2 linked regions of the Arabidopsis thaliana genome follow. The protein of the gene in region 1 interacts with the protein of each later gene in a pairwise test. Each region holds a gene or a part of one and is shown on either strand. Other genes may lie near its edges.

Region 1 (6,643 bases):
CTACGCATATGACGAATGCTAATGTTTAAAGAGAGATTTCGTGCATATTTGTCCAAAGATAGATGCAACTTGATCACAAATACGTGTTGATTTTCATTCTAATGAGGAAACAATTTGGGTTTGGTTTTAGAGAATTAAAAATTGGGCATTATTTAATTCACTGAATTATTGGAAGTATATTAATTTTGTGTGTAAAGTTTACCCCATTGTGAACTATCGAGTTTACCCGCATGTTTCATATATTTAAGGGTATGGATAATGAGTTGTGAAGAAAGATGCATATGCTTATGCCATACATGCTATGGTTTTGTAGTTCTACTAGTCACCAAACTTTGGATTAAAGGGATATATCTCCTGGATCTACAAATTCTTCTAACAAAATAATATACCATCTCTTTGTTACCGAAATATAAGTTGATTTAATTACATTTATATTAAGGTGGAATTTTAAGTCTATGCATCAAGCTAGTCATGATAAAACTTCATCCCACTGGTATTATAGATTTTCAACTCTAAAATCAATTGGTAGTTAGTGTATTTGTCGATGTATTTTATATATTATTTTAATTCCTTCTAGCTTTTGATGTGAAATCCTAACGGACCCTTCTAATAAATTAGATTTCACTGGATCCAAAATCAAAATGAATTAGAACTAGTAATGAGTTCTTTGAATATTAGTTAAGATCTCTTATACATTATTTAAGGGCTTTTTAAAAGATGATATAGGATCCTACCATTTCCAAAGACCAATGAACCAATCATCGAACGAAAACGAAGCGAGGAAAAGAAATAAAACAAACATACTTGTCTCAACTAAAGAAGTTACTTTAGTAACATATATAGACTACAGAGACTACTTTAGCTCACACACGCACAAACCTATATATAGGCTGAGATTGTGATGTATATTTATACAATAATCAAAGTGAAAAAGAAAAGAAAAAAGATGGATCGATGATTTTGAGAACTGGGACCAAACTGTTATTATTTTGACTTACCAAAAAAACAAAAACTTATGTCATTTGTTCCTGTCCTGACCATAAAGTGTTGTGTGTTATATTGAATTGTATTTCCAGCTTTTGAGGTGGTTTAGAAAAGCTGTCTCTATTTCTTTCTTCGGCTTTCAATCGCAAGTGTCTCTTTCAGTCTTCCACTTACATTATGTTATGTGATTTTAGTGGCTAAGCTCTTTGTTTTCTTGGCCGGTAAGTTTCTCACCCACACGAATTCGAAGAAAAAGCCGTTTGTTTTCTTGACTGGAAAGGGGTCTCCTTTTACGTAAGATTGTTTGTTTGTCTTCTTGTCTGAGATTGATGTAAGCTTGATTTAACATTTTATCCAAGTTATAGGTTTACTTATGCCGCTGAACAGATTTACCAATAATCAATAGTGTAATTTAGGTTTTTAAAAAATAGCATTAACTGCTTTCTAAGCCAAATCTTGCAAAACCTCAGTCCATGCACTACCAATACAAGGTACTAAAATAAAATAAAATACAAGGTACTAAAATACTACAGATAAAAGCTCTTCTTTGCTTGACATAATTAGATTTACGAGAGTTTCACACACAAGTACACAACCATGTAAGGTCTTAATTGTTTTTGTTTGCGTTAGATTTACGTATTTGCTTTTCATATTCTTATTATTTTAATCACAATCTTAATTCTTTTCTTAATAATTTTTCAACATAAAAATGCAAATGGAAATGGAAGAAAATAAACCGTTTACGGCTGGTGTATATTTTTTTCAAAGACACTACTTAAGCCAATTTAGAAAGAACAAAATTGGTCATTATAAACGTAAAATTTTAAAGAGAAAAAGAAGAAAGTCTACTGTTAGTAATTGATGCTTGTATTTACATTTTGCAAAAATATTTATGCATGTAATTTTTTTTAAAATTATACTTCAGCAATGTGAATTTTTATCGTTTGTTATGCAAACAATTGTGAAACAATTTCTTACTTCTATTCACGGGCAACACAAGTTTGAAGAACTCTGCTTTAACAATTACTAATTTAGAGTCTTAATTAAATCTTAAGCTGAGACAGATCTCTGGATATACATTTGTTGATACATACTAGAGCCCCAAAAAAATAAAAATAAAAATCATCTATACAACGTCGTCGTCGTCTCTGATGCAAGAGAAAGGACTCTGATTCTGAAGCTGCATATCACTAATCATTTGCTTAAGCTCAGTGGTTTCCTCTTTGAGCTGAACATTCTCTTCAATAACCTTCTCTTGAGACTCTAAAACGCAGTTAAGCTTACGAAGCAGCTGATGATTCTCATCCCTAAGCCACATCACCTGTGACCAAAGCTCATCCACTTGTCTCTGCTTCCTCATACGCGATCTTCTTGCCGATTCTCTGTTAGATATCTTCCTCTTTTGCTTCCTCTCATTTATTATCTCCTTATGATTCTCTTCTGCTTCATCTGAGGTCGAGTTGTTGCTGCTGATCAAACTCATGAACTGTGAAGTGTTCACGCCAGTTTCGAAGCTGAAGAATGGATTAGGGTTTTGTCCGCAAAATGGTGAGGATGTAGGAATATGGGAAAGGTACGAAGGTGGACAACCATGGAGGCTAAAAATGTTGGTGGATGGTTGCATTATCGGTGGAGACTTGGGACGCAAGGTAGGGTTTACTCTTAGGTGATGGAAGAAAAGAAAGATTGTAGGATTTAGGGAATTGTGATGAATGTTTGGTGTGTGTGGTGAGAAGAGGTGTTCATATAGACTAGTAGGGGGACAATTGTGGACCATGGTTTCTTCATTTGGGTCAAACCAATATAAAAGCATCTAACAATCATGCAGCTAAAACGTGTATTTATATAACTTTATTTATTATTTAAAAACACGATCTATTTTTTCACCTATAAAATTATTGAACTACTTAGAACGAAATCTAAATAACTTATTTTTTAAAGCCTGTCTAAGATTTATTAGAAGTTGGTTGAAGTCTTAGGGTGAAAAATGGCTTTGTAAATGAATGATTGGGATTAATTGAGTTTTTCTTTTCTTTCAATGGCTAGGAAACAAATTGTTTTTTTTTTGTTGTGTGGAAATTTCAAATATCTTTCAACTTATTTTTTAAAACCTATCTAAAATTTATGAGAACTTGGTTGAATTTTTGGGGTGGAAAATGGTTGTGTGTAAATGAATGACTGGGAATAATTGAGATTTTTCTTTCTCTCAATGGCTAGGAAACAAATTTGTGTTTTTTTTTTTGGAAATTTAAAATAACTTTCAACTTATTTTTCTGCAAAATAGTAGATAAATAAATTGAACAAACTACTTTTATAATTTGGTCAATTTTTTTCAATTTTGAGTTGAATGAATTAAATCATTTTTTAATAATTTATTCATCTTAAATAGTAAACGTTTGGAGAAATTTCAAAATGTCCATTTTCTAATACCGTACCACCACTTTTTGAAAATGACTTCTATCTAAAATCTTTTAAATATTTTATTATATTAAGCTTGGTTTAATATATATACATGTAAAATTACACATTTAGAAAAAAGTAATTAAAGCATATAATATTTTATAGAAGTGTCGGATTGACACATATAGCAATCATGCGTAATTCTTCATTTTCGTCGTATTTTGCTAAAAGTTCGACCTATGTAATTAGATTCTGTTAGGGGAAGGGTGGTGATTTTGAAATTTAACCTTTTGAAACCCAAGAAACATATGGGCTTTTATAACCATCCAAATTTATATTATCTTTAATTTTTTTTTAGTGTTGTTAGAAAAAAAAAAAAATATTACGTGATGGACTTAATTAGTACTAGAGGAAAGCATCTCATCAAGAAGAACAGAAGAAGCATAAACAGACCTATGAATGAGACCTTGAAAAGGTTGAGAGAAAACAAATTTAAGAAGCTAAGTGTCCAATTCTTTTGCATATTTGATGTGTTCGTTTAGTTTTAATAAAGCATAAATCTTTGTTCATAAGATCTCAACAGAAAATGAACTACAAATCTCTAATCAATCTACAGTGGTATTCATATCACATGACTTTCTTGTTTTAACATCAATTCTGACAATTCAACTATTCAATCATTGACCACATCGGTTTCTTAACAATCAAGTTATTGGATATAGAGAGCCCTCTTCACCTAGGTAAAACCTCATAGGCCTTTTGATAACCATACAAAAAAATATTAGTTTGCTCTCACTCTACGCCAACAGGGTGATAAAGCTCACACGTAAGTAACCTGTAAATGACAAGTAACACTCTTAACCAAAATAGCTTGACTCGTTGGCTTGGCTTTCAAGATAAGATCCTCACTCTGAGTTACCTAGTAAATCGTACTTGTTCTGCAGGAGGATTGCCTGCTTGTTCTTTACATGTCGACGTTGTTGTGGTTTTGACTTGAGTTGCTTCGAATCGTCAATACTAAGATCCTCTATATAGTCAAAGGCAAAAACATTGCGAAAATATTGTCGTTTCTAATCCGATTGACCTTAATCTTCGGCAAGGAGTAGATATACTGTGACCATTCCTGTTTCTCAACATCCTCTAGAACCCACACACACAACTCACGGGGATGTCCATCACCAGCATCACACTCCAATTTAGTCACACCTAATTTACCCTTGTAGTTTATAAATTCTCTATGAAAATTAGAGAAGTCTTTTCCATCAAGAAACTTGAATTTCTCAGACCTAACATTAAAGGAAACTACTAGAAAACACGATGTCCTAGCAAAGTAATACAAAACCCCATTGATGGATAAGGCTCTACCATAATAAGGTTCATGGGTTAAGGGACATATCATCTTCCTCCACTTCAAATTTTCAGTTCCTAATGTCAGAATATAATGAACCCATTCTTTATTGAGTCTCTTGTTCATGCACAAAACCTTATGTTGCTTGCCAATCGGATCAAACCCTAAAAAGCTTCTTGACGTTTTGTAGCCATTTGTTCAGGTAAGCTAACATAGCGTCCTGTGATAGGGTTAAATATCACACAAACTGAAGCCTTTGAGGTCCAAATATCATGGACAGGGATATGGAACAAACCAGAGACATAGCTACACATGTATAGGTTCATGTCTTCATGGAACTTCATATGATTATGAAAATCTACTTCAAGGGACGGATTCTGAGACTGAGGCGAAGAGTAGAATATCAAACCACTTGCTTTTAAGACCGCAAATAAAAGACGTGGACGAGCGGATGACTTCGTTATGAACAACTCGGTGAAATCTTGACGGTAAAGTATGGACGCCCATAGCTTCGACACGCAACGACACCGAGCGATTGACTTTGAAGACAATCTCAATGCTATCTCCACAAAGAGATCATCTGGAATGGAATCAAAAGTTTTTCTACTTTCCATGATCAGACGGAGAAAGATCTTTGAGAATAAAAATCTCACAGGCTCACTCTACAAATAGATTTGGAATAAATCTCTTAAGAGGTCGACCTAATTAATTAGATGATGTTAATTAATCTTAGGGAGGTGGTGGTGAATTTGAATCCTATTAGGATCGATCGGCACTAATTAACCTAAGGCCCAAAAAATATGGGCTTTTTAACCATCCAAATCTTGCTTTTTTGAAGACCCTAACATATAGTATTTCACAAGAAGTCAATCAAGAAAGGACATGATACTTCATTTTTGGTCACGCTGCTTCGCTGCGTGACTCACGCACATGTTAACTTATACCTAACATATATTTCCCAAGAAGTCAATTAAGAAGGACATGATACTTCGTTTTTGGTCACGCTGCGTGACTCACGCACATGTTAACTTATATACCTAACATAGTATTGCCACTCATTCATGAATTTTTTTTTGAATGAAATTATGATATGATACTGTGAACGTGTTTTTTCTTATTCTATTCATGATTTTTTTTTTGAATGAAATTATAATATGATTCTGTGAACGTGTTTTTTCTTATTCTATGCATGCTTACGTTGTACGTAGTGTTGGCTAAATGATTTGAGGGGACATCACTTTAGGTTTTAGTCACAAAATCTTTTAATTAGAAAAAATAAACCAAAATGATCCCTCACGTATAAAATATCTAAGTCTGAAGATTATTACAAAAAAAAAAATGAAGAAATAATAAATTTTCAAAAAGAAAACAAATTAGATCAACGTCAGTATATATTAAGGGAAATTTGCAGAAATAACTAGCAAAAAAACTATAATTTACTAACTAACCATCCTAACTATGTAACTATAATATTTTCTGTATAATATGTAATATTACTAAATTTGCCATTGTTGCCTCAATACTTTCAGCAGCCACCACCACCGCCGGCCACCATCTATTCCGGCCACCACCAACACTGATCACCATCAACTCCGGCCAGCACCAACTTCAGCCACCACCACCACCGACCACCACCACCGCCACCATCATCACCGGCCACCACCACCACCGGTCACCATCACCACCGGCCACCACCACCGCCGGCCACTACCACCACAGCAACCACCACACCGATCACCATCACTTCCGACCACCATCAACTCCAGCCACCACCGCCAGCCACCGCCGGCCACCACCGGCCACCACTACTACAATCTCCAACCAAAGAAACTAATTTAATAATTTTACTACCCTTTAGTGTTAGTTTCTACATTTGACATATTATAGTAGTGTTAGTTTTTTAAATAAATT
Region 2 (8,302 bases), on another chromosome or scaffold:
TCTTACAAATTTTGAACCTATCCAAAACTGCAGGTGCCTTCCTTGCTAATTTCTAAAGTGTTCGGGCAGATATTTTCATTTATCAATGTTCAGCTGTTTAACAGGTAATTCTGATATGGTTGCAACTGTCAAGTCGCTATATAATACAGATCCGCTTATGTTTTTCCCGTTTAATCAACCGTGTAGCCTTCTTTTAAGACGTGAATGCTGCTCGTTTAGCAATGGAGAGTATGTAAAAACAGGGCTTGCTGAGCTGGAAAAGTGGTGCCATGATGCAACGGAGGAGGTAATAGATGTTTCAAATCCTCTCTGGAGTTTTCGGACAGTTAGCTTATTAGAAGATGCTTTTTTTGTTGTGTTCTAGTTTGTTGGTTCGGCTTGGGATGAACTAAAGCACATTAGACAAGCTGTTGGCTTCTTGGTTATACATCAGAAGCCTAAGAAGAGCTTAAAAGAGATAACTACTGAACTTTGTCCGGTTAGTTCAACGTTTTGAATTTGTCTCTTCATTTGTTCGTCTCATGTAAATCTAACGAAATTTTGTATTTCTCTGCAGGTGCTTAGCATTCAGCAACTGTATAGGATCAGTACAATGTATTGGGACGACAAATACGGTACACATAGCGTATCTACAGAGGCAAGTGAATATTTCTACTCTTGCTTTCACATTCGTGTGATTGATGGACCCACTCGACCAAACCGTTAACATTAGTCTTATCCTGAGCTATGTTTTAAGAAAATCCAACATTACCTAGAATTGAAATAAAAATGTTCCTCGCTTGACACAAGAATGGTGATGCAGGTGATAGCAACCATGCGGGCAGAGGTGTCAGATGTATCAAAGAGCGCGATCAGCAATTCATTTTTACTAGACGACGATTCGAGGTAAACCCTTGAAAGAAACATTAACAAAACAAATCACTTTTTAGAAGATTGATATTTTGATAAAAAAAATTATGTGTCTTGGTTTGATTGCTTTTTGCAGCATCCCATTCTCGCTTGACGATATCTCCAAATCGATGCAAAACGTAGAGGTTGCAGAGGTTGATCCTCCTCCGTTGATCCGCCAAAACTCCAACTTCATGTTCTTGTTGGAAAGGTCAGATTGAAGTAGTCAAAGTTCCCTATACCCGATCGATCGCTAGGACATTTTCAGATTAGGAGATCAGTATTGTGCTTTCAAAAACAAAGCCTGTACATTAGTACATATGCCTATCTTTGCCAGTGGCTTTCTGGTACTGTTCTACTATTAATAGGGGTATATTGGGTAGGAAAAAATATATATATGTGAACTAAATATTTGTTGTGTCCATGCGTTGATAGGCCATTTGCTTAATGAATTTTACTTTGTTTATCATTTTTCAAATTATTAGTTTTTTTTTTTGTCACTATTGTTCTTTATTGACTGATCCAAACAAGTTTACAAGGCCAAAGTTGAAGCCCAAAATTGAAGCCCAAAGTATTACATCAAGGAAAAGATCAAAAGAAGGATAACTCTTGCGTTAGTTAATGTGTCAACAACATCGACACGTGGTGAAAACGTGTTGCAAAAGAAACATTGCAATTTCCCGTCATCCTTTACAGTCTAGTCTTTAGTTATGTTTGTATGTTTTTGGAAACATATCTGTGTTAAGAGATATTCCCTTTGTGTATAAATACACTGCTAGTGATTGTAACTCGGGGGTACTCAGACAGAAAAGCGTTTAGGGAACATTTGTTCAAGGTGTTACTGCCGCCATTGCTGGTAGTGTCTCCGCTTTGATTACAGTGACATAATTAAAGACTAGACTGCAGGTTCTAAATGTGGAAGATAGTAATAGTAGTAGTAGTAACGATAGGAACTGCAGTCTGACTATCTACAGACGGTTAGAAACTTGGTCGGGGAAGGTGGTTGGACGGCTTGTTACAGAGGATTGGGACCAAGCTGCGCTTCTAGTCAATGTGTTCTATGACTATGATATATGATATAAACAACACCGGAATGGAGTGTATGAATCTGGTTTAGCTTTACTAACTATGAATAAGCAAAGAGCAGAGACTTATCGGTTATCAGATTTACATTTACATTCATCACTCCAATCCAATCACTGACTTAACACACGATGATCCATGGTACAAACGACAGACGAAAAGTAAAGAGTTGAAGCTTGAAGGTTTTTGGTCATTCAAATGATATCTGGACAAAGCGTGTGAAATAAGAACTAGCTAATAAGCGAAGTAGCAGCCAAGGATGACTTCCCTTTTTTTGTAGGAACGTACACATTACCAGATTCCACCGGCTCAGATATGGACAGAGAAATGGTGTGTGTTCCTACCTCCATGCATGTCATTTGATTGACCATGAACATACATTGTTGGGTTTGTCTGAGATGGGCAATCTGATATCAGAAATTCAGAGTGTCCAAAGAGATTAACGCTGTCAGAAGCAGATGTGATGTCAGAGCGAGAAGTGGTTGAACAATCACAGTCATTGCTGTTCTGCAACTGATAAAGCACAAATCTTGACATGTTTCCCGTTGCGTGTTGCTGTTGGATTGGCATGTCTTGTTTTGGATCTGTAGATTCTTGAAGCTTTTTGGTGTTTAGGAATCTTCCACCAGATCCTCTAGGTCGTTTAAGAGCGTGAACATGTCGAGATTCATGAAGATACGGCTGTATGATATTTGATAATGAGTTATGTTTAGTCATTAAACCAAAGTAAGATACCGAAACGCTGACCAAAATACTATACCTTACGGGCTTTGATTAGTTTGTTTTGCGCCTCTAGCTTAGCACGCTGTTGCCTCCTCCTCATAATTGCATGGAATTGCTTTGCATTGACAAAGACAGGCTCATTCTCTATGAGATCGAATGGTAGCGGAACTCGAGTCATTTGGGGATTCCATATCTGCAGAAAGTTTTTAAGCAAACTGAAATCTCAAATGGAGAAATAAATTGCAAGACTAATTCACCATTTAAGGATGGCATTTCTTTCTATAGCTGTATATGTAACTACTTCAGAGCATAATGTTACATAACAAGTCCACCTTAAGTAAAAATGAGGTTTAGCATAAATATTCTCCTCACCATATGTAATCAAGGAGGATATACTTACTGTTGCCTGTGGTAGGTAAGCCGCAGGCATTAAACCACCAAAATGTGGATCGGCATAGTGAAATGAGAAGTTAGCCTGAAACCAGAGTATAACACAAGATGTCAGTAAACAATCACAAGTACTGCTTATCGTCACTCGTAGTAGATATACGGGTACCTTGGAAGGAGAAGAGTGAATATCAGCGATTCCTGCCGTGGAGGAGCCTGATTTAATTGCAAATCGCTTCCTTTGAGTTTCTTCAAATCCTTTACAAACATCTGAAAGAAAGAGAGCGAAAGATAACATTTTCAGGACAAAGGGATGGATTCTTTCGTAAATGGGACCAAAGATCAAGCTAAAACACCATGCGTCTTCAACATAATAGATCATAGTGAGTTGTCTAGAACCCAAAGTTGTTTAAAACGGACCTGAATGTGCTAAAAATGAGATTTGTCTTGAGGGGTTATCATCTCCACTACTTGTAACATCGTTAGAAGATTGAGCAGAGGACAGAGTTGAAGATGAATCCTGGTCCTGGAAACTGATATTCTTTGTGTTTATAAGACGTTCTGGTCTTGCATCTACCACCTTCAAACTCAGTGATTCAGTCACACCATTGGATTTGGTTGGAAGTCCCCATGAGATGGAAGTACTAAGGTATGGTGGAGTTGAATGTGCCACAGAGCTAGTAAATGAAACTTTCTTATCCATGTGACTCAGAGGCAACAATTAGCTCTCTCTCTCTCTGCTTCAACAGAGAAGATTGATGATACATGTGTCTGTCAAAGAAGCTCCAAATTCAGAACATCTTTATAAATGATAAAACTTTCAAAAGATATTTATTCCTGGAAACAGCAAAACCTTTGACGATGTAGTAGACAAAGAAGGGGATAATCCAAAAAGGGAAAAAAACCCAGAAACAGAGCAACATTCAGAACTATTTCGGGCAAACTATTAGAAGAGCGCGGCAGAAAAAAAAGTAAAGTTCCGACCAACTAAAATCAGCACCATTACTTTCGTCCTAAAAGGCGTTGACTTGGGAAGAAATTTCCAGAAGATTTCCGAATCAGCACATCACTCTAAAAAAAAGCGAAGAAATGACGGATTCAAAGAGAAGGAGATAGAGAGACCTTACGGATTCAAGGAAGAGATGAAGAACAGGAACTCAAGGGATGCCTATCAAAACAAAGTAAATCTCTTTTCTCTTTTGCTTATTCTCTCAGATAGATACTCAACAGTGTGTATGTGTGTGTGTGTATTCTTTTGATGCTTCATTTCCGTCACTCACAATTTTCTCTCTTATAAAGTCATTACCTTTCCAACAAAATCACCAGCTCCATTATTAGCAGTACCGCCACCTTCATTAGTATTTTTAATGCTTAATTAATATATTAGTTTTCTAATCTTATTGACTTATTATTTTGTTCACTTAACAAAGTAAACACTTATCTAGTTATCTGCCTATCCACTTTACAAAGTAAAACTATCGTCAAAAGCCTAATCTAGTGAGCAACTATATGGCAGCTGAAGCATCTAAAGCAAAGCTAATCTGCCTACTCTTTGTGTTTATGGACAAAATCTTGAAGCGTTCTTTGGATATAGTGGAACTCAGTTCCAAAATGCGAGTGGAAAAGAGAGAGAGAAGCAGAAGCAAGGGAGACTTGAAATGTAGTAAGTTTGTTACTACCTGGTAAATTACAGAAGAAAGCACACAGTTTAAGTCTTGAGGAAGCTGTTGCTGAGTCTTGAGTTTCACTTGAAAACACGCAGGAGTAAAATCACAAGAGCAGCCACTAGCGTGATGCAGATAGGGATGCCTACATACATAACCGCATGTGTGATCTTGGGAAGGCGGATGGTTTGGCGATTTCTTGTGGCTTGAGTTTTCAGTACATAACTCGACATCTCAGTTTCTTGGAAGTAGTCATTTCGTGTATGTGCCTATAAAAGAAGGGAGATGATAAAGGGTAACTACATCAATCATAGTAGAGACGGATCAAGAGCCAAGTATTCACCTCCTTGTTTGGTATGTCCTCAAAATGTTCTGCAGAACCAGCTTCGAGAGAATCACAGCCGTGTGCATCGAGAAATTGGAGAGACAAGGGAAGTTTTTCCACCGATTTGAGTTTCTTGCAGTTATTGAGGCAAAGTGTTACCAATGAGGTAAGATCTCTGATGCTTGATGGCAATGTCTCAAAATCATGGTTGCTGAGATCTAAACATGTCAACTTGGTGAAATGACTAAGCTGATCTGACAATGATTCAACACTCTTGCAATTTTCAAGGCAAAGCTCAAGCAAACAGTATCTTCCCTCATCTTGACTTGTGTTAGATAGTTTCGCCAATGATCTAAGGTTCCTACAGTTGGTAAGTGTAAGTGTCTGCACCTGAGTTAGCTTTGGCAACTCCTGGAGCTTAAAGCAGTTTTGAAGCCAGAGAGTTTTTAACCGGGAAAGGCTACTCATAGCTTCTGGTAAGTTCTCAAAATCATTTCCGCTGAGGTCCAGCTTCTCTAGTAAATCCAGGTGACAAATCCCAGATGGGATTTTCCTGATGTTTAAGTTCACTAGTTTTAGCTCTTTCAGGTCGGGAAAATCTGGAAAGACGTCAAAGGAGAAAGATTCACCGTTTTCTTTGTGGCTGAACCTCATGATGCGGAGGGAATTGAATCTGTTGCACTCTGAGATGACCCAAGGTGCTTGTTGCAGACTCATCGCCGATATAATGGGTATCTGTTGCTCAGAATTAAAAGAGACGTATTCAGCATATCCTCTAAATTTTGAACGAAACTCAAAAGTAATGTCTCCCCCAATCGATATGTTTATAAGTGCATCCATTTTCACTTTTGCGTCTGGGAACTCCAATCCAATATGTTGCTGCCTTGTAGATTTTCGTAGAAAAAACCGCAGGGCACTTCTACGCCCTCCACGGTAGGATAGCTTAAGCTTCTTTAAGGTAGACCTTTTTCCAATACACTCTGGAATGCCCTCCAGTCTCGTGCATTGTTCCAGAAGCAATTCCTCAAGACTCGTGATACTTGAAAGATCTGGAAGTTGCTTGAGATGCTTAGATCCCGTCACATCTAGTCTCTTCAAACTCTTCAACATCTGAGCAAGATACAACAACACATGGAAATAGTTGGAATTATGTTTCTCGCAAGGATTCTCTGTTTTCACACCATTGCTCTATCAAAAACACAAACACAAGATGCAGAATCATAGAAAAGATTACCGGTGTTCCACTCCAGAGAGTTTCTAAATCACTGTGACGCAGATTGAGTTCAACAAGAAAACATGGATCAGAACCGGAAGGCAGGGCTCTCAATGGAAATGCATCCCAATGGAATAGCCGTAGGCTACGAGGCAGGAACGGTTGGTCTGGAATGAGTTGCAGATTCGACTCTCTGTAATCTACATGCTTGTAAACCTTGAGAAACTTGAGATTATGCATACGGCCAACAACACTGGCCTCCATGGATAACACACAGGTCATATCACACGTGTGTAGGCACATGCATTCAGTTTGTTCTCCTCCCTGATGATAAGAAGACAAAAGAAACACAAAGCCAGAAACTCGTCAGGTCAGGATGCATGAAAATTTAAAAGAATAGATCAAAGATGATATAGATGCTTACGTCTCTGAAAGCCAGGGCAACGCGAATTTCCATAGGATCCCTGAGGAACTTTCGAGCCAAAGACATGTCGTCGCGGATAATTTCTCTTCCCATTTGTTCGACCAACTTGTGCATGATAACAGATCCATTAGTTGATATTTTGATGAGAGATTTCTCTGCTAAAACTCTTATCCACAGGCTGCTCTGAGGTATGGGGCCATGAAGAAGGGAAGTGATTCGCTGGAGAGTGTCTCCATTGAAGAGACAGACAACATGAAGGAATACATTCTGATGTGGTTTTGGTAAGCCCTCGTAGCTAATTTTCAAGATTTCCATTATATTCTCGTCAAGACTGCTTTCAAGTGCACCCAGTGCTTCTTCCCACTCCTCAGGACTCGCTGTCCTTCCACGGAGAAATAATGCATAGGCTTGAATGGCAGAAGGAAGCCCGTGAGCAAGCTTAGAAGCTCGGATTGAGAGTTGGTCAAAACCCTCACAAGGAGGAAGTCCTCCTTCAAAAGCAATCTGTTTAAACATCTGGAGGGCATCCTTATCATCCAAGCACTTAACCTCATAAACGACTTCTACTCCACAGGTATTGAGCAAGCCCATATCTCGAGTGGTTATGATAATTCGGCTCCCAGGACCAAACCAGTTTTTCTCTTTTGCCAAAGCATGCACCTGCGCCACTTTATCCACACCATCAAGCACAAGAAAAACCTTTTGATTCCCAAGTCTCTTTTTTATCTCTTGGCATCCAGCTTCCACGCTCCATAACCTAATATCATCACAGAGGATACTGGAGAGCAATTCTTTTTGCAAATGCTTTAGATCATGGCCATTGTCTTTACTAACACTCTTAATGTTTTCTATGAAACAATGAGCTGGAAATTTAGGTGAGAGCTGGTCATAGAGACACTTAACAATGGAGGTTTTCCCAATTCCTCCCATTCCCCAGATTCCTACCAGGAGAACCTCATTGGATTCCTGATCCAAGAGATGATTAAGACCTTCCATGTGAGCTTTCATCCCAACAATATTTCCAGAGTCTATTTTATGCATCAATGTCACACGTCTTGAAATATCTCTAGCAATTTCTCCAACCATTATAGCCTCATCAACACTAATAATATTGAAATTGAGCAGGAAAATTATAATTCAACTTTCCAGTGTGCTGCTAAACAAAGTGATAAATGTGTGTAAACAAGAAAACGAGGCTTACCAGTGGCTTGAAACCACGCCTGAAAGATTGGCGATTAGGTTAAGAGCTTCTCTCCACCTGAGAACCTTATCCACCATTTCAAGACCTTGGTACTTTACTAAAGAGAAACTTCCTAGCTGATGCCTCACCACGGAAGGATCTACTCCATAGAAGATGGGAAAGACTTCAAGTCTTCCCTCCTTCATAAGCTCCATTATCAGTTGAAGTTCCAATAAGCACCATCTCGAAGTAGCGTAGTTCTCGGAGAGAACAACAACAGCGAAACTCGAACTCCCTAGTGCTCTGTGGAGTTCATCGGAAATGTGATCGCCTATCTCAAGCCTTTGGTCATCTTTGAAAGTAACAATGCCTCTGCTATCAAGTGCTGCATATAAATGACTGACGATGGTTTTGC

What was found. Proteins that work in one complex are often made in the same cells at the same time.
Region 2: the proteins of bZIP43 (region 1) and NF-YA8 interact in a two-hybrid assay, tested with the Arabidopsis thaliana proteins (one large-scale study listed by BioGRID).

Annotation. Positions count from the first base shown.
Region 1 is NC_003076.8:15,536,195-15,542,837, forward strand, and holds bZIP43 (basic leucine-zipper 43), read right to left. Parts: upstream 2,696-6,643; 5' UTR 2,609-2,695; coding exon 2,111-2,608; 3' UTR 1,947-2,110; downstream 1-1,946. Other genes in the region: AT5G38810 (F-box and associated interaction domains-containing protein), read right to left, coding at 4,412-4,896, 5,028-5,346. UniProt on the Arabidopsis thaliana protein: Probable transcription factor involved in somatic embryogenesis. Acts as a positive regulator of BHLH109.
Region 2 is NC_003070.9:6,048,201-6,056,502, forward strand, and holds NF-YA8 (nuclear factor Y, subunit A8), read right to left. Parts: upstream 4,429-8,302; 5' UTR 4,204-4,428; exon of another isoform or gene 3,853-4,203; 5' UTR 3,785-3,852; coding exon 3,502-3,784; intron 3,352-3,501; coding exon 3,251-3,351; intron 3,170-3,250; coding exon 3,095-3,169; intron 2,888-3,094; coding exon 2,732-2,887; intron 2,653-2,731; coding exon 2,281-2,652; 3' UTR 1,964-2,280; downstream 1-1,963. Other genes in the region: MYA1 (myosin 1), read left to right, coding at 34-104, 187-286, 365-478, 557-637, 803-885, 986-1,109; AT1G17600 (Disease resistance protein (TIR-NBS-LRR class) family), read right to left, coding at 4,826-5,014, 5,089-6,180, 6,305-6,607, 6,708-7,809, 7,909-8,302. UniProt on the Arabidopsis thaliana protein: Stimulates the transcription of various genes by recognizing and binding to a CCAAT motif in promoters.